4 linked regions of the Saccharomyces cerevisiae S288C genome follow. The gene in region 1 interacts genetically with each later gene. Each region holds a gene or a part of one and is shown on either strand. Other genes may lie near its edges.

What was found.
Region 2: mutations in TSA2 (region 1) and BAS1 together harm fitness more than expected from each alone (negative genetic interaction), as found in Saccharomyces cerevisiae (2 studies listed by BioGRID).
Region 3: mutations in TSA2 (region 1) and CST6 together harm fitness more than expected from each alone (negative genetic interaction), as found in Saccharomyces cerevisiae (2 studies listed by BioGRID).
Region 4: mutations in TSA2 (region 1) and EGD1 together harm fitness more than expected from each alone (negative genetic interaction), as found in Saccharomyces cerevisiae (2 studies listed by BioGRID).

Annotation. Positions count from the first base shown.
Region 1 is NC_001136.10:1,362,968-1,368,373, reverse strand, and holds TSA2 (thioredoxin peroxidase TSA2), read left to right. Parts: upstream 1-2,711; coding exon 2,712-3,302; downstream 3,303-5,406. Other genes in the region: bifunctional K:H/Na:H antiporter NHX1, read right to left, coding at 1-889; GUK1 (guanylate kinase), read left to right, coding at 1,547-2,110; PPN1 (endopolyphosphatase), read right to left, coding at 3,472-5,406. UniProt on the Saccharomyces cerevisiae protein: Thiol-specific peroxidase that catalyzes the reduction of hydrogen peroxide and organic hydroperoxides to water and alcohols, respectively.
Region 2 is NC_001143.9:632,593-640,055, forward strand, and holds BAS1 (Bas1p), read left to right. Parts: upstream 1-3,258; coding exon 3,259-5,694; downstream 5,695-7,463. Other genes in the region: phosphoenolpyruvate carboxykinase PCK1, read left to right, coding at 1-209; ubiquitin-specific protease UBP11, read right to left, coding at 434-2,587; SKG1 (Skg1p), read right to left, coding at 6,309-7,376. UniProt on the Saccharomyces cerevisiae protein: Activates HIS4 transcription only in combination with PHO2/BAS2. BAS1 is also involved in the regulation of the purine biosynthesis pathway.
Region 3 is NC_001141.2:282,898-287,929, forward strand, and holds CST6 (Cst6p), read left to right. Parts: upstream 1-2,768; coding exon 2,769-4,532; downstream 4,533-5,032. Other genes in the region: pheromone-regulated protein PRM2, read right to left, coding at 132-2,102; casein kinase 2 catalytic subunit CKA1, read right to left, coding at 4,893-5,032. UniProt on the Saccharomyces cerevisiae protein: Transcriptional activator of promoters containing ATF/CREB sites. Can independently stimulate transcription through ATF/CREB sites. Important for a variety of biological functions including growth on non-optimal carbon sources.
Region 4 is NC_001148.4:479,396-485,077, reverse strand, and holds EGD1 (Egd1p), read left to right. Parts: upstream 1-3,176; coding exon 3,177-3,650; downstream 3,651-5,682. Other genes in the region: H(+)-exporting P2-type ATPase PMA2, read right to left, coding at 1-2,235; MET31 (Met31p), read right to left, coding at 4,010-4,543; YPL038W-A (uncharacterized protein), read right to left, coding at 4,705-4,896; YPL039W (uncharacterized protein), read right to left, coding at 4,903-5,682. UniProt on the Saccharomyces cerevisiae protein: Component of the nascent polypeptide-associated complex (NAC), a dynamic component of the ribosomal exit tunnel, protecting the emerging polypeptides from interaction with other cytoplasmic proteins to ensure appropriate nascent protein targeting.

The sequences.
Region 1 (5,406 bases):
AACAACTCTCAATTTGAGGATAGCGCCTTATGTGAGTGTGTTTCAACAGAAGAGCAACAAGAATTCCTATAAGAACGCCTATCAACAACGAAACGGAGAAAGTCATCAAAAAGAGGCCTGCCCCTTCAAAAACCGACGAAAATGTTGCAGGTTGACCATGAAATTTTTGACAGGTTTCAAACATAACAATAGAGATGGCATCATTTAACAGTGATTCTCCAAAAATGATGGTATATAGCTTAGGATCCACTTTATACGCATTGAAAATTGAAAGAATTGTAACAGGGTCGGTAGCAGATAATGTAGCACCAACAGACATTGCATCTGCGAATGAAATGTCAATACTCTCTAGTCCTAAAAAGGTCCAGATATACAATATGATTCCAATAACCACAGCAGATATGAAGGTGCCCGGTATGGCGAAAATTAAGATAGATAACATATTATTGAAAAAGTTCACTTGATTCAACTCGTACCCACTATTTAAAATAATTGGCGGCAATAGAACATTAAAAAAGTAGGATGAATTAAAAGTAACCGTATCTTGAATATAATGCCCGGGGGACATCCTTATTATCAAGCCAATAACCATACCATAAAAAATAGAAAGCACAGTTTCATGCACTGCCCTAATTCGTTTCTGAGTTAAATAGTAACTAGACCACAATGCAGAGATCAATAGGAGCAACATAATGAACAATGCCCATGAAGAGAACATTTCTTCTGTAACAGGGTTTAAGTCTACATCAGGATCACCTGCAATAGGGTCATCGCTACCCGGGAGATCCGGGGAAGGTAGAAGTTCATCATCATCGTCAGGATCAACTGCTCTCTTGGCGGTGGTTAACAGCACCTTGAAAGCTATATTCAGCAATACCTTGGATAGCATTTTTCATATGGTATGTACTGACAGCGATAAAAGATTATCCTCTGAATTTCACTGCTTGCAATCTATGTTTAATCTACAACTATTTGTCAATCTTGGGTGCCCTTTATCTTAGAGTAGCTAGAAAAGCAACGGAAACAGAAAAAGTCACACCGTGAATAATGATTGTTCGATATCAACTTTTGCAGTTCCTTGCTATCACGTTTGTGCAAGGTATATCATCTGTCATAATCCTTTGGCAAGACTACTGCTCTGCTACTCCTTGTGTGTGCTCACGGCAGGCTACAATGCAAAATTCATCCTAAACTCTGCTCTATAAGCATTAATAAGGTGAAATTTTCACAGCCTTTACATAAAAAACGACAGTAAGTGTATAAATGTGATTGTCAAAACTGCGACGATTCGAAATGATAGCTATTTGAAGTGTAGGTTATATCGACAGGAAGTTTCGGTTCTCGAAATATGTGATGCGTCTTTCCGGCGGCGTCGATGCTAATAGCAACCGTACTCATCGGTACATTCCAAATTTCGAAAAAAAGCTTGGAAACACATAAAAAAGAAAAAAAAAAATACATTTAGCATAAATGGATACACAATGGCGTTTCTTTTTAGTTGATAACTACAGTTTACTTCGGATAAAGATTAGTAAACCTTTGCGTTATGTCCCGTCCTATCGTAATTTCTGGCCCAAGTGGTACAGGTAAATCTACACTGTTGAAGAAATTGTTCGCTGAATACCCAGATTCTTTCGGGTTTAGTGTTTCATCCACTACTAGAACCCCAAGAGCTGGCGAAGTAAACGGTAAGGACTATAACTTTGTCTCCGTAGATGAATTCAAATCTATGATTAAGAACAATGAATTCATTGAATGGGCGCAATTCTCCGGTAACTACTATGGTAGTACTGTCGCTTCCGTCAAACAAGTCAGTAAATCTGGTAAGACTTGTATTTTAGATATTGATATGCAGGGTGTCAAATCTGTCAAGGCTATCCCAGAGTTAAATGCCAGGTTTTTGTTTATTGCTCCACCATCGGTCGAGGATTTGAAAAAAAGATTAGAAGGTAGAGGTACGGAGACCGAAGAATCCATCAACAAGAGGTTAAGCGCCGCTCAAGCTGAATTGGCATATGCTGAGACAGGTGCCCATGACAAAGTTATTGTCAATGATGATTTGGACAAGGCCTACAAGGAATTGAAGGATTTTATCTTTGCAGAAAAATGATGTAGCCCTATATAGACATTACTAAGTATGTACCTGGTAGGAGAGTGCTGTCGCAAAGCGACAAAACGTCCAATTATTCAATTAATATAGTGTAAAAGTTCTCAACGGGCTTATGCTAGTTTTTTTTGTTAGTAAGCGCTACGACGACTAGAACCATCTCTTGAATTTCCAAGTGCCAAAATCAATGACCACGGATACTGTGGCCAGGAATCTGTTGGTTGGTCATCCTCAAGATCTAGACAATATCATATTGGGCCAGTATCTGATTATCTTAACTATATGCGCCCCTCTAGTTTACAAGTTTTAGTCATTGGGGGTTGGAAGGGCTGATCCCCCCTTACAATTGGCGTCGTTTAGGAGCGGGCGAGGCTCTCCTTTCTCTTACACATCTGCTAAGGTGTTTGTTACCCGAGTAATCAAGGATCAACTATGGATGAGATTTAGATTAACGTATTTAGAGCAGACGATTGTAAGAATATATTTTGTAATTTCGATTGTTTTTTGCTACTTACATTGTTTATCTTGAAATATCCAAAGTGAACACTATTACTGTTTTTTGCTCAAGAATATATTAGCCTTACAAGAACGTAAAAAACCAATCATGGTAGCAGAAGTTCAAAAACAAGCCCCACCATTTAAGAAAACCGCCGTAGTCGACGGTATCTTCGAGGAAATTTCACTGGAAAAGTATAAAGGTAAGTACGTTGTTCTAGCTTTTGTCCCATTGGCTTTTTCATTTGTCTGTCCAACTGAGATTGTTGCGTTTTCCGATGCCGCCAAGAAATTCGAAGATCAGGGCGCCCAAGTTTTATTTGCCTCCACCGACTCTGAATATTCCTTACTGGCATGGACCAACCTTCCCAGAAAAGACGGTGGATTAGGTCCAGTTAAAGTTCCTTTGCTTGCTGATAAGAATCATTCCTTATCCAGAGACTATGGCGTTTTGATTGAAAAAGAAGGTATAGCTTTAAGAGGTTTGTTCATAATCGACCCGAAGGGAATCATTAGACATATCACTATCAATGATTTATCTGTTGGCAGAAACGTCAATGAAGCTTTGAGATTAGTCGAAGGTTTCCAGTGGACTGACAAAAATGGTACAGTTTTGCCATGCAACTGGACCCCAGGAGCCGCCACCATCAAACCTGACGTTAAAGATTCCAAGGAGTATTTCAAAAATGCCAATAATTAATCTTCGCACGATAACGCTAGGCCCTATTAAATAATTAAAAATACATCACCCTATATATGATAAGAAAGATGGTTTTGTATTATTATGAAATTGACTTGAAAGAATAGTGTAACAAAAGAAAAAGAAACTGTAATTGAAGAATGATATGCATTTCTATGTGTATATTAACTTAATCATCTTTATATCCAGAAGACGCAAATGACCATTCGACGTATTTTTCCCATGCAGGTTTGTTTTCGTATAATCTGCCTGCAAGATCCAAATAACTTCCTACTGTTAACGAATCCATTGAGTATGGTTTCTCGTCTGAGGTATATTCTATCTCATACCTGAAAATATCCTTAGATTCAACAAATGAATTATGTAATTCTTGATTGATTTTTTCCAAGTCGGCGTAGAATTGGACGAAACGCGTCGGAGTGAATAACTGCGGTACATATGCAGGGCCGAGTTCGTATTTGTCTGGCATCTCAATTGGCATAGTCTTGTCATTTTTCTTTTTCTTCTTGTTTTTCTTTTCGCCCATCTTCTCGCGGTTGATCCCAACCTCGATATTACTGCTGTCCATTTCATCTTCTAGCAAAGAGTCTTCCATAATCTTATTTAGTGACTCGAAAAATTCATCCCAGGGCTTATACTCCGAAACTGCAAAATTGGAGTCATTCACTATGTCGGTGATGTTATATTCCCAGATCCTAAAGGAAGGATTGAAAGTTGGAATGACTGAACCACCTATGTTCACAATGGAATAGCGTTCAATGAGCTCTTTTCTAGTGATTGGCTTTTTCTTTTTTTTGTCCTTCTTTTCTTTCTTTTTCTTCTCATTTTCAACATTTTTTTCATCCACTCTTTCCAGCTTATTCCACACTTTCCGATAGTATGTGTCGCGGACGGTGTTCATATATGCTTCTTTGTTAGATGGTTTCGCTCCCATTAAAAAAACTTCTTTTGCCGCCATAGCGTGATCCAGAATTCTATTCAATTCAGTTTCTTCGTCCTCTTCATTACTGTCTTCTCCTTGTTGAACACGAGTGGATTGCTCCATGGCTTTCAATAACGATTTTCTAGCTTTTTTACCATCCGTTGGGATGAAGTGGTCAATATTCATGTGACCGTATAATCCTCCAATGATTATATCCCTGTATTCGTGAGTCCATAGCGTGAACTTATCGTAGCACGACTGATCGAAATTTTTTGCGATTGGAGGTACATGTCCACTTAACCATACTTTCATTCCCCTACTCCTTAGTTCTTCTAATACATAACCGAACCAAAGTAAAAGTTGGTAACCTGGTTCTTTTTTTGAATTACAATTGTCAACTAACGGATTGGCCTTGAATAAGTACAGCGTGTTAATTGACAGGACAGCAAGCTTCCCTGGAATAACTTCAGTCAAAAATGAAGCACTCCTATCAAAAGTTCTTTGCTGCTGCTGCGGAACAAAATTTTTCCAAATCCTATAATATTCTCTAGTTTGTAGAGTTGGTCCTAGTGCAAACATGTTATGTGGAAAGACATCATTGTTTCCAAGACTTGGAATGACAGACACATCAAAATCTCTTGGATCTTCTTCATTGCCAGCACTAAATAATTCTGTCATTTTATCAGCAACGATATTGTTCATATCAAAAATTTGTGCTTCTGTTCTTGGATGTTTCCGGTCATTGTCATGTCTGATATTATCACCCGTCCAAATGACAAAATCAATCTTATCTCTAAGATTTTCTTTAATCCATCTCAGAGTTTCTTCCATTAAAATAACGGGAGAATCACATCCAGACATTGCCTTCCCAAACTTGGGTGCCACATCCTTTTTTTTGCTTGGTTTTCCTGTGTGACAAACTGCATCAATAGAGCTTCCTTCCACATAATAAGGGTCAGGATGAATATCGGTAATATGAAGGAACCGTCCATGTAATTTTCTCTCCTTCCCTGTCTTTACGTCTTTGATAATTACTGGCTCCCTAGGTGTCAGTCCTAGCCTTGTAAATTCTATGTCATTGAGCAATTGAAGTGACTCGTTGTCCCCCCTGTCATCTAAGAATTTGGAGAAAACGGAAACATATTGAAATTTAGCACCAATTATAAACACGAGGAAAAACAA
Region 2 (7,463 bases), on another chromosome or scaffold:
AAACTTTACCGATTTTCAATCTTCAAGTACCTACCAAGGTTAACGGTGTTCCAGCTGAGCTTTTGAATCCTGCTAAAAACTGGTCTCAAGGTGAATCCAAATACAGAGGTGCAGTTACCAACTTGGCCAACTTGTTTGTTCAAAATTTCAAGATTTATCAAGACAGAGCCACACCAGATGTATTAGCCGCTGGTCCTCAATTCGAGTAAACGAAACATGTTCGTTCGATATGTTCAATCCAAAAAAAAAAAAAAGAATTAGAATTATTTCGACATCATAAATGTTCGTAATATATTATTTTGTCAATTTTTTCTCTTCCCATTTCAGCTTTTTTTTAATAACTGAAACTGGATCAACAAGCACATGTTTTTCTAATTAATCTTTCAAACATATTTATGTATATACATAAGGAAAATTCAAAAATCCGATGCAATTAACAGAATTCTTCTTCATAGTTCTCTTCATCCATTCTTTCGTAGAATAAGACGTATACCTCATCGCTAGACATTTCTGTTTTGCCGGCTTCAAAGTTGTTGCGATCCTTGCGATGTTGCTGTATATAATCGTCATCAAATGTAACCCAAACTTGTCTATTCAGTCCAATTTCATGGCTCTTTTCTTTGTTCACAACAGAAGTATAGTGTCCATTGATAAGGTTACCGGAATGATTCACCGTTCCATATAACTTGTATCGAATCACTTTACCGTTCTTTAAAATAATGTTCAATATCAAAGGGTAGGTTATTACAGTGCTGTTTTTTTTTGTTAAATCATAATAGAACCTTGATAAATGAATGACAAGTATCGGAGGTAAAACTATAAAGTCTAAACTCTTAATCGTGGTTAACTTTTTAGAATTTCGCTTCTTTGCATTTTTTGTTGAATCATCGCTGCTATGGTGATGATGGTGATGATGGTGGGGTGATTTTGACCTTGATCTGGAATGAAAACCGAATATGGTTGATTTTTTCTTCTGGCTAGTAATTTCTTCTTTTTTGGATTTAGAATCAGTAATTCTACAATTAGGACAATCCCAAGCATTGTCGCCTGACAGTTCTTCATCGCCTGTAAATAAGTTTATGCAATCCTCTAATTTAATTTTTCTCGACTTACTTGTAAAGCTATACAATGATAGTTTTGGAATCGCAAGTGACAGAACATAGAAGGTAGAATAGCTATAAGAAGAATTACCACAGCGCTGACATTTCAAAATGTTCTCCAACTGCCCTCGATATATGTGATCAATTGGAGATAAACCATCAGTAATAACATTTCTCTCGTACCATTTCTCGTATTTGGATGGGTTAACTTGTAAAGCATTCGCATCATATGACACTAGATCTGGATAATACTTGACAACATTTTCGTTCGAGAGCTCTTCATGTATTCGTGCTAAAACTATTAGTAGAAATTCCTGTGTATCCTGTTGATCATCTGGGATGTTCAAATCTGGCCTTAACTTCTTGCACATTTTTAAGAATCTATTTGGTATAATCGCTCTTCCTCCATTCAAATACATTTTTTTGAACAAAACGTAAATCGAGCGGGAAAGTTGGACTTCTTTCGGATATTTGTTAGTATTGAGGAATAGCCTATATTTCTTGGTTAAAAACAAATCCCGAAATAAGGTAGTGCCAAACAGACATTGAATTATACTGTTAATATAGCATGTATTGCATGGATTTTGCAGGCCAGTAATAGATAACTCTGATAACAGATCATTAGAATCTTCAATTACTGGTAGATTGTAAGCTTTCGGGGCCGAAGATTCTATGGCCTCGATCTTTCCTTCTTCCTCCTTTGGCTTTTCCACCTTGGATAAAGAGGATGAAGAATCTTGGCTAGAATCTCTGATTTGTGACGAAACCTCCAAGGAGTGCACGGGGGGAGCAGTTGCTGGACTAGACAGCGTTTTGAATAATGCATCCTTTCCAGTACTGAGTTTTAAATACGAGGGTTTTGATAATGCTTCTTTGCTTGTGTAGTACGCCACTTCAGAACCAGCTTCCAATTTATTACTTGATGCTATCTGATTACTTTCCCTGACTATGTCCTCTTTCGAATTATCATTTGTTGGTTTTGTTAGCTCATTCGGTATTTCATGTAGTGAGCCATCAAACTTGTTATGTATTGACAAAGAGGCCATATGAACAGGTAAAGGCCGTAGCGGTAAGGAGTAGGCTCTTTTTCTTTTTATGGTCCTGCAAATTCCGTTTGACTCCGCTAAATACCGGTCAACAATAACAGTACTTTCATCTCTTACCACTTTTAACACATAACCCATCACGTGTTCGTCTTGATAGTCGTTTTTTAGCTTTGCGTAACTGCTGTAGAGATTATTTCTTGTTTGGAATTGTAACGATTGTGGAATAATAAGGTACAGATAATAACAACCAATAATAAATGCTGTCAAAGCTTCCATTTCCTGATTGATTTCTAAATCCCTCAGGTAAACATTAAACAGATGAGCAGCATGGTCTAACAATCCTCTTAAGTTCTTTAGCCGTAATTGCGAATAAAACTGTTTAATATCTACTTCATATACTTTTCGAACTAGGTTTAGAATTTGATCTGGGTTTAATAACATTGTCTTTATGACTTCCGATTTAGCGAAAAGAAAACGGAAAGTAAGATCAATGCCACGGTTATTTAGTTTACTGAAGATCCTGAAAGACTACTAGCAGTAGCAGTAACCTTTCAGAGCTTATAATCAACCTAATGATTACTCAGCGCACAATCTAAAAGGGTTTCTCAACTAATTCTCGAAGAAATGTCAATCCCTTTTTTAAGCACTCCGGAAAAACTTTATAATAGATGTGGGGAAATCACCTTTGACGATGTGCAACGGAGAAACTATTTTTTTTTTTCTTTTTTTCTTTTTTTTTTTTTTTTTGGTCCGAACAATGCGATGAGCCAGACGAAGAAAAAAATAAAAAATGAGAATGAGTAATTATGTTAAGACCTTTAGAAGAAATAGGGTCCAGTCACAGAATAAAGCCCCAGGAAACTTTAAAGCAATCGAAATTAACCAGCTATATTTATATAATAAGAAATTTTTCTTATTAGTTTACTATAAAGGACTAGTGTACGTTTTTTGTGTTTAATTATTTGCTTTCTGATAATCCGGTTTGCTGATTTGAATCGTTCTCTGCAACAATTGTTGATCTCTAGTGGGGTAAACAAAATTAGTTTTGTTTAAAACTTTTGTTGTAGCGTTTTTGCTCTTTTTTTTTTATCGCAGAATACATTTTATCGAGAATGTCGAATATAAGTACCAAAGATATACGAAAAAGTAAGCCAAAAAGAGGATCCGGCTTCGATTTACTTGAAGTGACTGAATCACTTGGCTATCAGACACACAGGAAAAATGGAAGAAATTCATGGTCAAAGGACGACGATAATATGCTACGATCGCTAGTAAACGAATCCGCAAAGGAGTTAGGCTATGAGAATGGACTTGAAGACGTAAAAACAATTCAACAATCCAACCATCTTTCTAAATGTATTGCTTGGGATGTTTTAGCTACACGATTCAAACACACCGTAAGAACTTCAAAGGATGTAAGAAAGCGTTGGACAGGATCTCTGGACCCAAACTTGAAGAAAGGTAAATGGACACAAGAAGAGGATGAGCAGCTCTTGAAAGCTTATGAAGAACATGGGCCTCACTGGCTGAGTATCTCCATGGATATCCCTGGAAGAACAGAGGATCAATGTGCGAAAAGGTACATTGAAGTGTTGGGACCTGGAAGTAAAGGTAGATTAAGAGAATGGACGCTCGAGGAAGATTTAAATCTGATAAGTAAAGTGAAGGCATACGGCACGAAATGGAGAAAGATTTCGTCGGAAATGGAATTCAGACCAAGTTTAACGTGCAGGAACAGATGGCGGAAAATTATTACTATGGTTGTGCGAGGACAAGCATCAGAAGTAATAACAAAGGCTATAAAAGAAAACAAGAACATAGACATGACAGACGGAAAACTCCGACAACATCCAATCGCCGATTCTGATATACGCTCAGATTCTACACCGAATAAAGAAGAACAGTTGCAGCTATCTCAACAGAACAACCCTTCATTGATAAAGCAGGATATATTGAATGTTAAAGAGAACGAATCGAGCAAACTACCAAGATTAAAGGATAATGATGGACCCATTTTAAATGACAGCAAGCCACAAGCATTACCTCCCTTAAAAGAGATATCTGCACCTCCACCAATCAGGATGACGCAAGTCGGTCAGACTCATACCAGTGGTAGCATTAGGAGCAAAGTATCTTTACCAATTGAAGGTCTTTCTCAAATGAACAAGCAAAGTCCTGGAGGAATCTCAGATAGCCCACAGACAAGCCTTCCCCCAGCATTCAATCCAGCATCTCTCGATGAGCATATGATGAATAGTAATAGTATTTCAGATTCTCCGAAGCATGCTTATTCTACTGTGAAAACTAGAGAACCAAATTCCTCTAGCACACAATGGAAATTTACATTAAAAGATGGTCAAGGTTTGTCAATTTCTAACGGAACTATTGACAGCACAAAATTAGTAAAAGAATTGGTTGACCAAGCTAAGAAGTACTCTTTAAAAATTTCGATACATCAACATATTCACAATCATTATGTTACATCCACAGACCATCCTGTCAGCAGCAATACTGGATTGTCAAATATAGGAAATATAAATGGAAACCCTCTATTAATGGATAGTTTCCCACATATGGGTAGACAACTGGGAAATGGTCTTCCAGGGTTAAATTCAAATAGTGACACTTTTAACCCAGAATATAGGACTTCTCTGGACAACATGGATAGCGATTTTTTATCAAGAACACCCAACTATAACGCATTCAGCTTGGAAGCAACTTCACACAATCCCGCTGACAATGCAAATGAACTTGGTTCACAAAGCAATAGAGAAACAAACAGCCCGTCTGTATTTTATCCTCAAGCAAATACATTGATCCCAACTAATTCTACCGCTACAAATAATGAAATCATTCAAGGAAACGTTAGTGCTAATAGTATGTCACCGAATTTCAATGGAACAAATGGCAAGGCACCAAGTTCGACGGCATCATATACAACGAGCGGTTCAGAAATGCCACCTGATGTAGGTCCTAATAGAATAGCGCATTTCAACTATTTGCCACCAACTATACGGCCTCATTTAGGCTCATCAGATGCGACAAGAGGTGCTGACTTGAATAAGTTACTCAATCCATCTCCAAATTCAGTAAGAAGTAACGGCAGTAAAACTAAGAAAAAAGAAAAAAGAAAAAGTGAATCATCTCAGCATCATTCTTCATCATCTGTGACAACCAATAAATTCAATCACATTGATCAGTCGGAGATATCAAGGACTACATCCAGATCTGATACTCCATTGAGAGATGAAGACGGCCTGGATTTTTGGGAAACGTTAAGATCCTTGGCTACTACGAATCCAAATCCTCCAGTTGAAAAGTCAGCTGAAAATGATGGTGCCAAGCCTCAAGTGGTACATCAAGGGATTGGCTCACATACAGAAGATAGCAGCCTAGGTTCCCATAGCGGAGGATACGATTTTTTTAACGAACTGTTGGATAAAAAGGCAGATACACTGCATAATGAGGCTAAGAAGACGAGCGAGCATGATATGACGTCAGGAGGTTCTACCGATAATGGGTCAGTCCTGCCACTGAATCCTAGTTGAGAAGGCAAGGCCGAAAAAAAACACAAATCTTTCAATTGTTTAACATATTAGTTTTGTAATAAGCATAAGTGTATATTATACATAGCACAAGATGGATAATATTCTCTGAAAAAAACGTGTAGTTTCATGACTCGCATTTTTTTTTTTTTTTCTTTCATGTTGATTAACATACTTGAATTCTGTATTTAAGCTGTATAAAAAGTTGTTCTATTTCATATACGGCGATTTTGCATAATTAAGAACTTTGCCTTGTACACTATTTTACTAGGGTATTCTTCCAAGATTTCTCTTCTTATTTTTTCCCTTTATAAGTCATTGTAGCAACATAATTTCCTGGAAATTTTAAGGGAATATATTTCTTTCCGCCCACAAACACAAAGGGCGTTTAGTAAATTATGCGGCGATGTATAAAAGAGAAAGCAGGCAAAAAGAAAATGAAAAATGAGACTATGAACTTTAAGAATTATGTCTTGACTAATTTTTTAAAACCCATCATCCATGAAGAGTTCTGTTTGTATTGTTTACGTTTGATGTTTGAAGTGAATTTAATAGAATTGTTCCTCTTTTTTTCTTCTTTTTTTAACTATAATATAATGTTTAGTATATCAACAGTACTATTTAGGCCTTAGACTTTCTATGAACTCTCTCTTACTCTGTGAGTAGTTGGTAAATTCGTTTTCGTATTGATCTTCCTCAGCAATTTCCCCGATATTGCCCACATCATAGTTATTCTGTAATTTGTATAAATCCTTATCTTTATCTGTTATTGCAGACCTGCTATCCTTTACCGAGTGGTCAGCATCCATTCCTTCGTTATCTTTATCAAAAGTGTTTGGTAACTGTGATTGAGCCGCACTTTTGGGTGTTGCAAACACATCCTCTAGGGCATCGCGCTTATTTACCGATGTTATAGAGGAATTCCTTGTATGGAAGGACGCGTTTGAAATGTTACCATTTAAAAACGAGGATGAAGCTCTCCTTGGGTAATACGAACCAAAGTCCTGATTCTGCAAATTTCTTATCAGATTTTCATTACTAGATTGGCGAGTATTATGTTTAAGTTCTATCATCGAAGCTTTGTTTTGGTCATTGCTAGTATTAGTATCACTGGAAGGATCTGCGAAAAAGTTTGGTCCTTCATCAGAAATAACAGGGACCATCTGATCATAAACGCTGATCTGTCTCTTTGTTATATGCCGTTGGGAAGATGATAAGGAAACATTGGAGCTGTTATTTATACTTGGTAAATCCACAACGGACTTCTGCCTGGCATTATTGCCGTAGTTATTATTTCGTACTTGAAGTAAATTTATTTTCCTACGGTATGCTGGCACATAGTATTTACTATTCTTTTTCCCTAACGGTTTCTCTTGATCTCGCGATTTTCCATCTTTTTCTTCTGGATGAGCAGATCCTTCCGATGAACCAGAAGTGTGATCAGGATTTTTTAGCTCGGAGCTGGCTAGTGCTGCTTCATCTTTACTGTCTCTTAAGGGTCCAAAATTGTCAAAGGACACGAAACCACTTTCATCATAAATAGCCCTTTCCAATTCTCTATCGTCTTGTTCCTCCCTCTTGTATCTTTTTTGTAGGTTAAACCAGAAACATACTGCTATTATAATACCTACACCGACGGGTATACCCACCGCACAACCCACCGCAACTGATGTGCTGGCAGTCATCTCTTTTACTTCTTACTACGATGAGCTCCCAAAAAAAAAATATATCCCTGATAAATAACACAAAACTAAGAAGCCGGACCTAGGTGA
Region 3 (5,032 bases), on another chromosome or scaffold:
TAGGTTTTAGAGATTACGCACAGATGAAAGTGAATTAAGCTACTATTACATAAAATCAAGGTATCTTTCACAAGTTTTTCACTCAGCGAAAATTGCGAGACCGCTCGTGGAAGGTGACGATAATACGATACTTACAACTTTAATATTATAAATATAAGCATGTGGTGGAACAATATAGTCAGGCAAACTGCTAAAAGTCCCCACTTATAAACAGTGTGTAAAAAGTACGTTTGTTTTTGCTCCTTATCCTTTATTTGGCGTTTTGACAGTGAAGACAATGCCGCTACCGATGCGTTGGTTATATTAATTCCTCGATTAATTATACCATATTTTTGAATGTCCAGTGCAAATGAAGAATTTGTATTCGTAACTTCGTATGTCGGTAGGAAATACTGACCCAGGAACTCATTAATTGAATCGCTGCCTAACAGAGGCTCAACCTGCAGGTCTATCCCCTGCCAATTTTGAGAACTCTCATTAAGATATTTTTCAAACTGAGTGTTTGTGTCGTTAACCCAAAGATTTAGGATGTCCGTTGATTGCACTTTCAAATTGGGGTCAGTTTGAAGGCTTAAATTTGCTGTAATGAACTTTTCATTCACTTCCATTTGGAAATTTTCACACAATAATGATACGCTGTCATTAATGAAACCCTCTATCGTAGTTGTTATATTTCCATCTGTCCAAACTTCCCTTTTGTATAGCGAAGGTCCCGCTCTTTTGTGGAATGTAGGCAAACTGGGTACTTCAAAGTTTGTTAATCGCGTCACTATCTGCCAATGAATTAATAACATCAAAAAACCAAACAGCCACAGGTGAGCCCCATTTGAGATTATCCACCAGTTACAGTAAAATAGTTTTGATTTTTTGACTTTTTTGTCATCGATTTTTTCTGGTTCTCTTTTAAATATTTTTTGATTGATAAGCTTTGTTAATTGGTAGGGAATTGGATAAAGTGTACTGAGATTCAGAGTAGTAATTAAGCTTTTCAAAACTTTGTTGTATTTAGTAAAATTGGTTTGTCCTGTCAGGCCATTAATTTGGGACATAACCAGGTTTACTTGCTGATTTTCCAGCTGAAACAGAATTCTTTCGATTGCCATGAGCAAAATCACAAATGCAAAGTACATGACTGTGAAAATTATTGTCATTCTCTTACATTTACGGAAAACGTGATTTTTTACTGCACTTAGTACACTGTTTTCCTCGCTATTTGTTTTCAGAGACCGTTTAATTATTGAAGTAGACGATGTAACCTCGGTACTCCCCCCAGATAAAATGGAAATTTCATTCTGTAAGTTTGCAGTAAAGTTCCTTTTCAACTGAAGCCAGTCAGTGGAATTTCGTAGAAAATTCAAACTTAAGGTACTAGAGGTATCTAATTGAGTAGAAAAGTCAGTGATAGTGCCATTGAAGTTCTGCAATGATTTCAATTTCCTTGAGTAGTTCCCAAAAATACTGTCAAACATGGAGTAATTTAACAGTAGGTTTGATGCCATTTGTGAAATGGAATCCTTATCAATGGTCATTGCGTCTTCTGATATTTCATTCCATGTGTCATTTATCAGCTGTGATTTAGTGAGTAGTTCGTTAAAAATTGTATTGTTTACCTCAAGAACTTCCTTAATCAATTCAGTTTCCAAACTTATTTGGTCGTTGATAAGTTTTTGTTTATTATCCAGTATGTCGTCTGTGTATGACTTGAATTTTTCTTGCATATCCGTACCTACCGTAGATTCAATACTCCGTAGTTTGCTTTCGAAATACTGATCAATTGTATTATCAATGAATGTTTTATTTAAAGAGTAACTGTTGGCAGAATATATGGCATGCTGTGTTGTGACTGCTGTCATTGTGGCCGTTGTTGTGGCCGTTGTTGTGGCTGTCGCTGTAGCAGTTGAAATAGATGCAAAGGTTGAGACGGTATCATTTCGTTTGACCTGTGCGTGAGACATTTTTGCCATTGTAATGTCAATGACTGAAAAGGAACCCCAAATAGTTAAAATAACAGAAGTAAAGAATATCAGTAATAGAGGATGGAAAATACAACTAAAAAACCTCTGTGGAAGTGATAAAGGTTTAATTATGTGTACATTGTTCATCTTTGCCGTACTCTTAGTTTTATCGAAAAGTGGTGTAGATTTTCAGCTACTTAAGCCATGTTAGTGTTCTAGTTTTTTGCTTTACATGTTATATAAAGGGCCAAGATAGCATATGTAAATGTTTTATTACTGGGCTGAAACATTTTTAAAACATTTTTCAATAATGTGCTGTTATAACCGTACAAGGACGGTTATAATTCTGAATTAAAATGCTGCACCGAATGAAAATACCAATGTTCTTCCAAACCTATTGGCGAAAATTAAGATAAGCTGTCGCCTCTATAATCAAGAATAATCTCAACTATTATAAATATTATTCCCAGAAGTTGAAATTGTGACACATTTGAGTAATATCACCTTACACGGAACATAGTTGCCCCCTTCTCCGAAATTGCTGACAATGATAATCGGGGATTCAATGACAATGACAATGAAGGCAAAAGATTTTCATATTGTACTCTTGTTTTTTGAGTTATCACTTTCAAGTACCTTCTTGTTAACAGAAATAGAACCGCTATAGAGGTTATCGTGTATACGTATCTGTTGGTGTTTCTAAATCAAAAACTCGCTTTTAAAGCAGTCTTTCAATTGGAAGATTCAAAAGGATCTAAAAAGATCTAAAGTAGTAAAGAAAAAAGTATAAGCCCACACCTTTTTGGTAGGATAATGTTTACTGGTCAGGAGTATCATTCCGTAGACTCTAATTCCAACAAGCAAAAAGACAACAATAAACGTGGTATTGATGACACATCAAAGATCTTGAATAATAAGATACCGCACTCTGTTAGTGATACTTCTGCCGCCGCCACCACCACTTCTACTATGAACAATTCTGCTTTAAGTAGATCCTTAGATCCTACTGACATAAACTATAGCACAAATATGGCTGGTGTGGTTGACCAAATACATGATTATACTACTTCCAATAGAAATTCTTTAACCCCACAATATTCTATTGCAGCTGGAAACGTCAATTCGCATGATCGGGTTGTTAAACCCAGCGCCAATTCAAACTATCAGCAGGCTGCATACCTTCGACAACAGCAACAGCAGGATCAGCGACAACAGTCACCCTCTATGAAAACTGAAGAGGAATCCCAACTCTACGGTGATATTCTGATGAATTCTGGTGTCGTACAGGATATGCATCAGAATCTGGCCACTCATACAAATCTGAGCCAACTGTCGTCTACCCGTAAGTCCGCTCCGAATGATTCTACTACAGCCCCGACTAATGCGTCCAACATCGCCAATACGGCTTCTGTGAACAAGCAGATGTATTTCATGAACATGAATATGAATAACAACCCACATGCCTTGAACGATCCATCCATCCTGGAAACATTGTCGCCATTTTTTCAACCTTTTGGTGTTGATGTAGCACATTTACCTATGACGAATCCACCAATTTTCCAAAGTTCTTTGCCTGGATGCGATGAGCCAATTAGAAGAAGAAGAATATCAATCTCTAACGGTCAAATAAGCCAGCTAGGCGAAGATATTGAAACTTTGGAAAACCTGCACAACACACAGCCGCCCCCGATGCCCAATTTTCACAATTATAATGGTCTGAGCCAAACTAGGAATGTATCAAACAAGCCGGTCTTCAACCAAGCAGTGCCGGTTAGTAGTATTCCACAATACAATGCAAAAAAAGTTATTAATCCCACGAAGGACTCCGCATTGGGTGATCAGAGCGTTATTTACTCGAAAAGTCAGCAGCGAAATTTTGTAAACGCGCCATCAAAGAATACTCCAGCGGAGAGTATAAGTGATTTGGAAGGCATGACGACGTTTGCGCCAACTACTGGAGGTGAAAATAGGGGCAAATCTGCACTTAGGGAATCTCACTCTAATCCTAGCTTCACTCCAAAATCTCAAGGATCTCATTTAAATTTAGCGGCGAACACACAGGGAAATCCAATCCCTGGTACTACGGCATGGAAGAGAGCAAGATTGTTAGAAAGAAATCGAATTGCAGCTTCGAAATGTAGACAAAGGAAAAAGGTTGCGCAGCTGCAGCTCCAAAAGGAATTTAACGAAATTAAAGACGAGAATAGAATTTTACTGAAAAAGTTAAATTACTATGAAAAACTAATCTCTAAATTCAAGAAATTCTCCAAAATTCATTTACGTGAACATGAAAAACTAAATAAAGACTCAGATAATAATGTTAATGGCACTAATAGTAGCAACAAAAATGAAAGCATGACTGTGGATTCATTAAAGATCATTGAAGAACTTTTAATGATCGATTCAGACGTTACAGAAGTGGATAAAGATACTGGTAAGATCATAGCCATCAAGCACGAGCCATACTCTCAACGTTTCGGAAGCGATACTGACGATGACGATATAGATCTCAAGCCCGTAGAAGGTGGTAAGGATCCAGACAACCAATCATTACCCAATTCTGAAAAGATAAAATAACAAAGTTTTGGTGAGCACAACGGTGTTTCATTCAAGAATGATAAGGACAACTATATATGTAATATACGTGTATAAATACTCGAGCTGCATCCTTTCTTTTCTGCCGTTATTATTTCGTTTAGTTACTACATTTATGGTATAAATTACCTTTAAGACATTATTATTTTGCATGTATGAAATTTGCTCGTGTCAACCCCTTAGTCCTCCTTGCCTCTGTTGTATGGAGGAAGCCCTTTAAACCTGTATTTAGTTTTTTAAATCTATTAGAATTAAGTACAATTGTACAGATGGTAAAAAAAAGTAATCGTTATATCGTTTGTCAGTGATTTTTTTTTTTTTATTTCATTCATTATTTATTTCTTATTTTTCAATTTGTTCCCTTATTGGGGCAAACCACGGGTGTCCCATCGCTTCCTTAGCAGTTAATCTTTCTTGATGATCATATCTCAAAAGATTGTCAATAAGGTCAATAATTTCATCGTTGCCGCTTAAATGTTTAT
Region 4 (5,682 bases), on another chromosome or scaffold:
AGAGTTGTTTAAAATAGCAATCCATAAACCCAGGAAAATCTCCAAATGTAAGGATAGGGCAATACGATAAACAACATAGGAGTACATTCTGTGGAAAATCTGTCTAGAAGTCTTTAAGGCATCAATAATAGCAGAGAGACCAGGGGCCAAGAAAACAATATCAGCGGCTGATCTGGCAGCATCGGTAGCACCTTCGACAGCAATACCAGTATCAGCCTTCTTCAAAGATGGGGCATCGTTAACACCATCACCAGTCATAGCAACCAAGTAACCTCTGTTTTGCAAGATTTCAACGACTCTGTATTTATGCTGTGGGAAAACTTCTGCGAAACCATCGGCATTTTCAACAAAATCAGCCAACTCTGAACCAGGCATATCACCTCCACCTCCCAGACCTAACCTTTCTGCGTTATAAATGTTTGTACCAAGTCCTAATTGCCTACACGTTTCTTTCGCGATACCAACAGCGTCACCGGTTAACATCTTGATTCTCAAACCAAGGTTTCTGGCCTCATTGATTGTTTGAGCGGTGTCATCTCTAGGGGGGTCCATACATGGCATAACACCCAAGATTTCCCAGTGACCTTCCCCTCTCTTTCTAGCAACACCTAAAGCACGGAAACCTCTAGAAGCTAGTTCAGCAACCTTATTTTCGTAGTTTTCATGCACATCTTCCGGAATTGGGTGATCTTCTTCAACAGTCTTCAAGACAAACAATGGGGCTCCCTTGACACAAACAATTCTTTCACCTTCTGGGGATTCTACAACAGCGGTAACCTTTTTTGAGACAGGGTCGAACGGATGGAATTCCAAAACTTTGTACTTGGTCAGGGCGTCTTTAGCTTTTGGATACTCAATCAATGACTTCAAAAAAGCCTTATCAATAGCATCCAAACCTTTCTTCTTTCTAGAGGCAGCTAAACAAGCGGTCAACATCAAGTCGTCCGGAGAAACGCCTTCGACAGTGTAGGGTTCGTGTAAAGATAACTTGTTTTTGGTTAAAGTACCAGTCTTGTCAGAACATAAAATCTCAACACCAGCAAGGGATTCAATAGCAGATAACTTTTGAACAATGGCTTGCTTCTTAGCCAAGTAAGCTGCACCGACAGCCATGGTCGTGGTAACAACTGCTGGCAAACCGACTGGGACACCAATGATGGTTATACCCAAAGTATATCTCAAAATGCTTACAATACCGACCGTTCTATAGAAACATGCGGTCCAGACCAACAACAAAGTAGCGATAACTAGAACAAGTAAGATAATACCAATTCCATTCAATACTTCAGTGAAATGGCCCTCTACACCGGAAGCCTGCCCCACTAAGGCGGCAGCCCTACCGACGAAGGTATTGTCACCAGTGGCAGTAACAACCATAAAAGCCTCGCCGGTTTTCACAGTGGATGAGGAGAACACCTCATCACCGTAATGCTTTTCAGCGGCTAAGGATTCACCAGTGATGGCCGATTGATCGATCTGCAAAAAACAGTCTTCAGTGACAATACGACCATCTGCGGGAGCAATTGTGCCACTTTCCAATTGCAAAATCTCACCAGGAACTACCTCATTAGCCGGAATTTCGATCAATTGGCCATCTCTAATAACTGTTGCAGTATTGGCCAACGTCTTTTTCAGCTCGTCTACGATGGAACCTGCCTGGAATTCTTGAATAAATCCGACAGATGCGTTTAATAGCAGTAAAGCACAGATGACACCGACATCAACCCAATCAGACAAACCGGCAGCCAAAATAGCAGCAGCCTCCATAACGAATTGAATAGGCCCTACGAAGAACATCAAAAACTTCACAATCAACGATTCATTCTCCTCAGCCATTTGATTTAACCCATATTTCTTTCTTCTCCTGGCGACTTCATCCGAAGTCAAACCATACGCAGGGTCCGTAGAAAGGTCCTTTTCAGGAACAACCCTTTGGCCAGCGTGCACCCCATCAGTACGTACTTCTTCTTCACCAGATTCATCACCCTCACCGTAGTTAGATTGTAGTTCATCAATCAATTGGTCTATATCTTCATCTGAGTCAGAATCATCAGCGGCAGAAGCGGCTGCGGCCTTCCGTGGAACGGCTGCAGCCGATGACGAGGCGGAAGTTGATGTAGAAGACGAAGATGACGAAGAAGCGGCAGAATTATTTGCAGGGTCATCGCCATCACTGGCATGGAGGTACTCTTTCGAGGGTTTCTCCTTGTATTGCTTTGCTTCAGTGGAAGACATAACGCAAAACAGTTTCCTTTTGCTTAAATTGTACTAGCACACAGCAACGAAAAATGAAAAAAAAAAAGTTATGGGTATGTTTAAAAAAGCCCAGTAGCTTGGATACAGTAGGTTATCCAGCAAGAAATGCTGGAAGAAATAATAGATGGTAAAAGAGGATATTACACACCTTTATATAACGAAGTACCATCACACCGCCAATTACGTTTAGGGGACGCCGACAAGAAGTAAATTCACTATTATGTACTTACAAATATGTTTCCACCGATAACCTTTCCCCCTTCGACGGTTATTTGAGCAGCGTCTGTCCGCCATTTTTCCAGAGAAGCTACTTCATCAATCAATTGACTTCGCAATTCCCTTAAACAAAAAAAATTTCTTTTGCCCTCCCTCGACGATTTTGGAGTAGAGAATACCTTAGGCCTTTTTTTTTCTTTTTTCTCACGGCTGCTCTTCCTCTTTTTCGCATATTCTATTTTATCATCGACTTCCCTAATTCGCACTCGTACCAAAATGTTAAGCAGTATGGCGAAGAACGTGGCGCGCTGGAGTCGTGAATGTTTGGGTCCTTGATGATGGACTACGGTAGTAAGTATGTAGTAGTTGCAACTTCATATGTTCACTTCTGATCCAAGGAAGAGCGGTTATGAATTAATCTCTTGGCATGAGCGGACGGGTAAGGGGACACCGCCTTTTCTTCGATGGGAATCAGGGTAATGGTATATGATGGATTATTGTGGAATCATTTAGTACGGCAGATGTTGAAAAAAAAAGCAGAAAATTTTTGAATTTTTTTCGTTGACATTGGAAGATTTCGTAGTGGAAACAGCTGCAATTGCTTGTTAAGTAGTAACCCCTCCTTTGTCACAAGAGAGCGAATATTCTTTCTAGGGAGGTTTAAGAATAGAACATCTCACACCAGACGCGACTCATAATTCATAATGCCAATTGACCAAGAAAAATTAGCTAAGCTACAAAAGTTGTCTGCTAACAACAAAGTTGGTGGTACTAGAAGAAAGCTTAACAAGAAGGCAGGCTCTTCTGCCGGTGCCAACAAGGATGACACCAAGTTGCAAAGTCAATTAGCTAAGTTGCACGCTGTCACCATTGACAACGTCGCCGAAGCCAACTTTTTCAAGGACGACGGTAAGGTCATGCACTTCAACAAGGTCGGTGTCCAAGTTGCTGCTCAACACAACACTTCTGTATTCTACGGTCTACCACAGGAAAAGAACTTGCAAGATTTGTTCCCAGGTATTATCTCTCAATTGGGCCCTGAAGCCATCCAAGCCTTGTCTCAATTGGCTGCCCAAATGGAAAAGCACGAAGCCAAGGCTCCAGCTGATGCTGAAAAGAAGGATGAAGCTATTCCAGAGTTAGTTGAAGGTCAAACTTTTGATGCTGACGTCGAATAAATAACTTAATCTTTAATTTTAACGTTAAATAAAAAAACACATATTTTGTTCCATTTTTTTTCATTTTTTTTAGCATATCTAAAGCATATAATACAAACACTGTTTTCTGCAAAAAAAAAAAAATAAAAAATAAAATATAAAAAAACAATATACCACACTATGCTGCACACGTGAAATGATGAACTTGTACGTCACCACTTTGTGCGCAAAAAATTGGCAAAAGTAGAGAACATGTCACTAACTGTATCGGAATATTACAACGTTTTTTTATTCTACTTATCTCAATGGCTAAAGTATATATCTATCTATATATGTATGTGTAGGTGTGCTGATGGAGACAAATACGTTTTCCTCTAGCCTTACAACAGGCCGGTACCATTCTTTATCGCATCCTTGATGAGCTCATCTACATCAACGTCTGAACCTTCACTTAGTTTCTTTCTGTTTCTTTGACAGGTCAGTGTGTTAGAATGTCTTTTTAGAGCATCCTTCCTGGCAAACCCTTTGCCACAGTTTGAGCAAATATGCGGCAGCACGAGTGAGTGTACCTTTTCATGTCTTCTCAGATCAGAACTTCTGCTGAATTTCAACTGACATTTCGCACAGCTGTAGAGCTGTGCGCCTTCCTTGCTATGGTTGTTACCTCCTGTTCTTTTTGTTTGTGTTTCTGGAATCCTTATAAGACCTCTAGCCATATTTTCCGGCTCCCCAGCCTTTAAAACATTTTCTGGTGCTGGTATAACTGCGCTCAATGGGCTGGATTGTCGAATTCTGTGGAGTAGCTCTCGTATTATGGGGTCCGTATGAGTGGGACTTGATGAGATTACCGCTATAGCTTCTGCCGCTTGTTTGAGAAATATTTCATCTACATTCATGTCTTGCGCCAGTTTCATATGCACATATAGACTATCGACTGTGTATATTGAGCCCAACTTGTTAATGATCAAATCTCTTTACGTACTGAGGAACGGCTTTTTCTTTTTCTTACCCATGTTATATTTTGCATTAGAACAAAAAAAAAATTGATGGGCTAGCAAAATTTTTAGACTAAAATTTAGAGGCAAGATATGGTTCTGTAAGACTCGAAAAAATTCTCATAATATATACTTGCTTGTGTGAAAGTGTTCTTTTGTTTTGTTTTTTTTTCTTGTGTATAATTATACATGTTTTTTTTGCCTTTTGTACTCAAGAAATCATAAATGGAAATAAAAATGACCCTTGAATGATGAACAAAACGACAAACCATACTTTATTAAACTATCCTAAAAGCTTCTTGTACTAACTTTTTACCCATTTTGTTAAACTCCTGTAATTCTGTCACCAAAACATATCCGTTACTTTGACCCGACCATTCACCAGAGTCACTTACTTGGGTGGGTTCGATCCCACACTCAATTAATGATCTAGAATGCAAACCATTTGGTGTGTCTGGGATAAACGTAGTTTGTCGATATGTATCGGCATCAGCCCCCATGCTATGCGTTTCTTCATGTTCCGACCGCCTATCTTGGCCTTCCCCATCGGAATGGCTATGAAGCGAGTATGCCCTTGTATGTACATGTAGATCATCAGCTGACCTATTGGTAGAGAAAAAAGGTGATGCTGATGAATTGGAGTTCATAAAAGAACTTCTGAGGAAGTACGAATGTTGTTCACGTCGAGATAACATTTGCCTGCGTTGTTGTCTACTCCGCCGAATAAGTACAGGCCTCACAATAGAACAACAATTTATCACTTCTTCCAGTGGCAAGCCTGTTATCTGGGAATAGAGATGATAGGTTTCATCCCTCGTGGTAATCCTGTCGCGGTCATCGCCTACAACATTTGGCACACTTAAGATGAAAGCAGCTACAAATAGTTTGTGTAAGCTGAACTTTAAAAACTTCATGTAGTTAGTTTCCTTCGAGCAGCAATCTAGAAACTTGATGACAATGCAACAGACCTTTTTGAACTGTAAATGCGATGATTTGGCTCTGTGTAGGATTATTTCTAAAAATTTGGTTGTTTTCAAATGATTTGTGCCAATAATTGC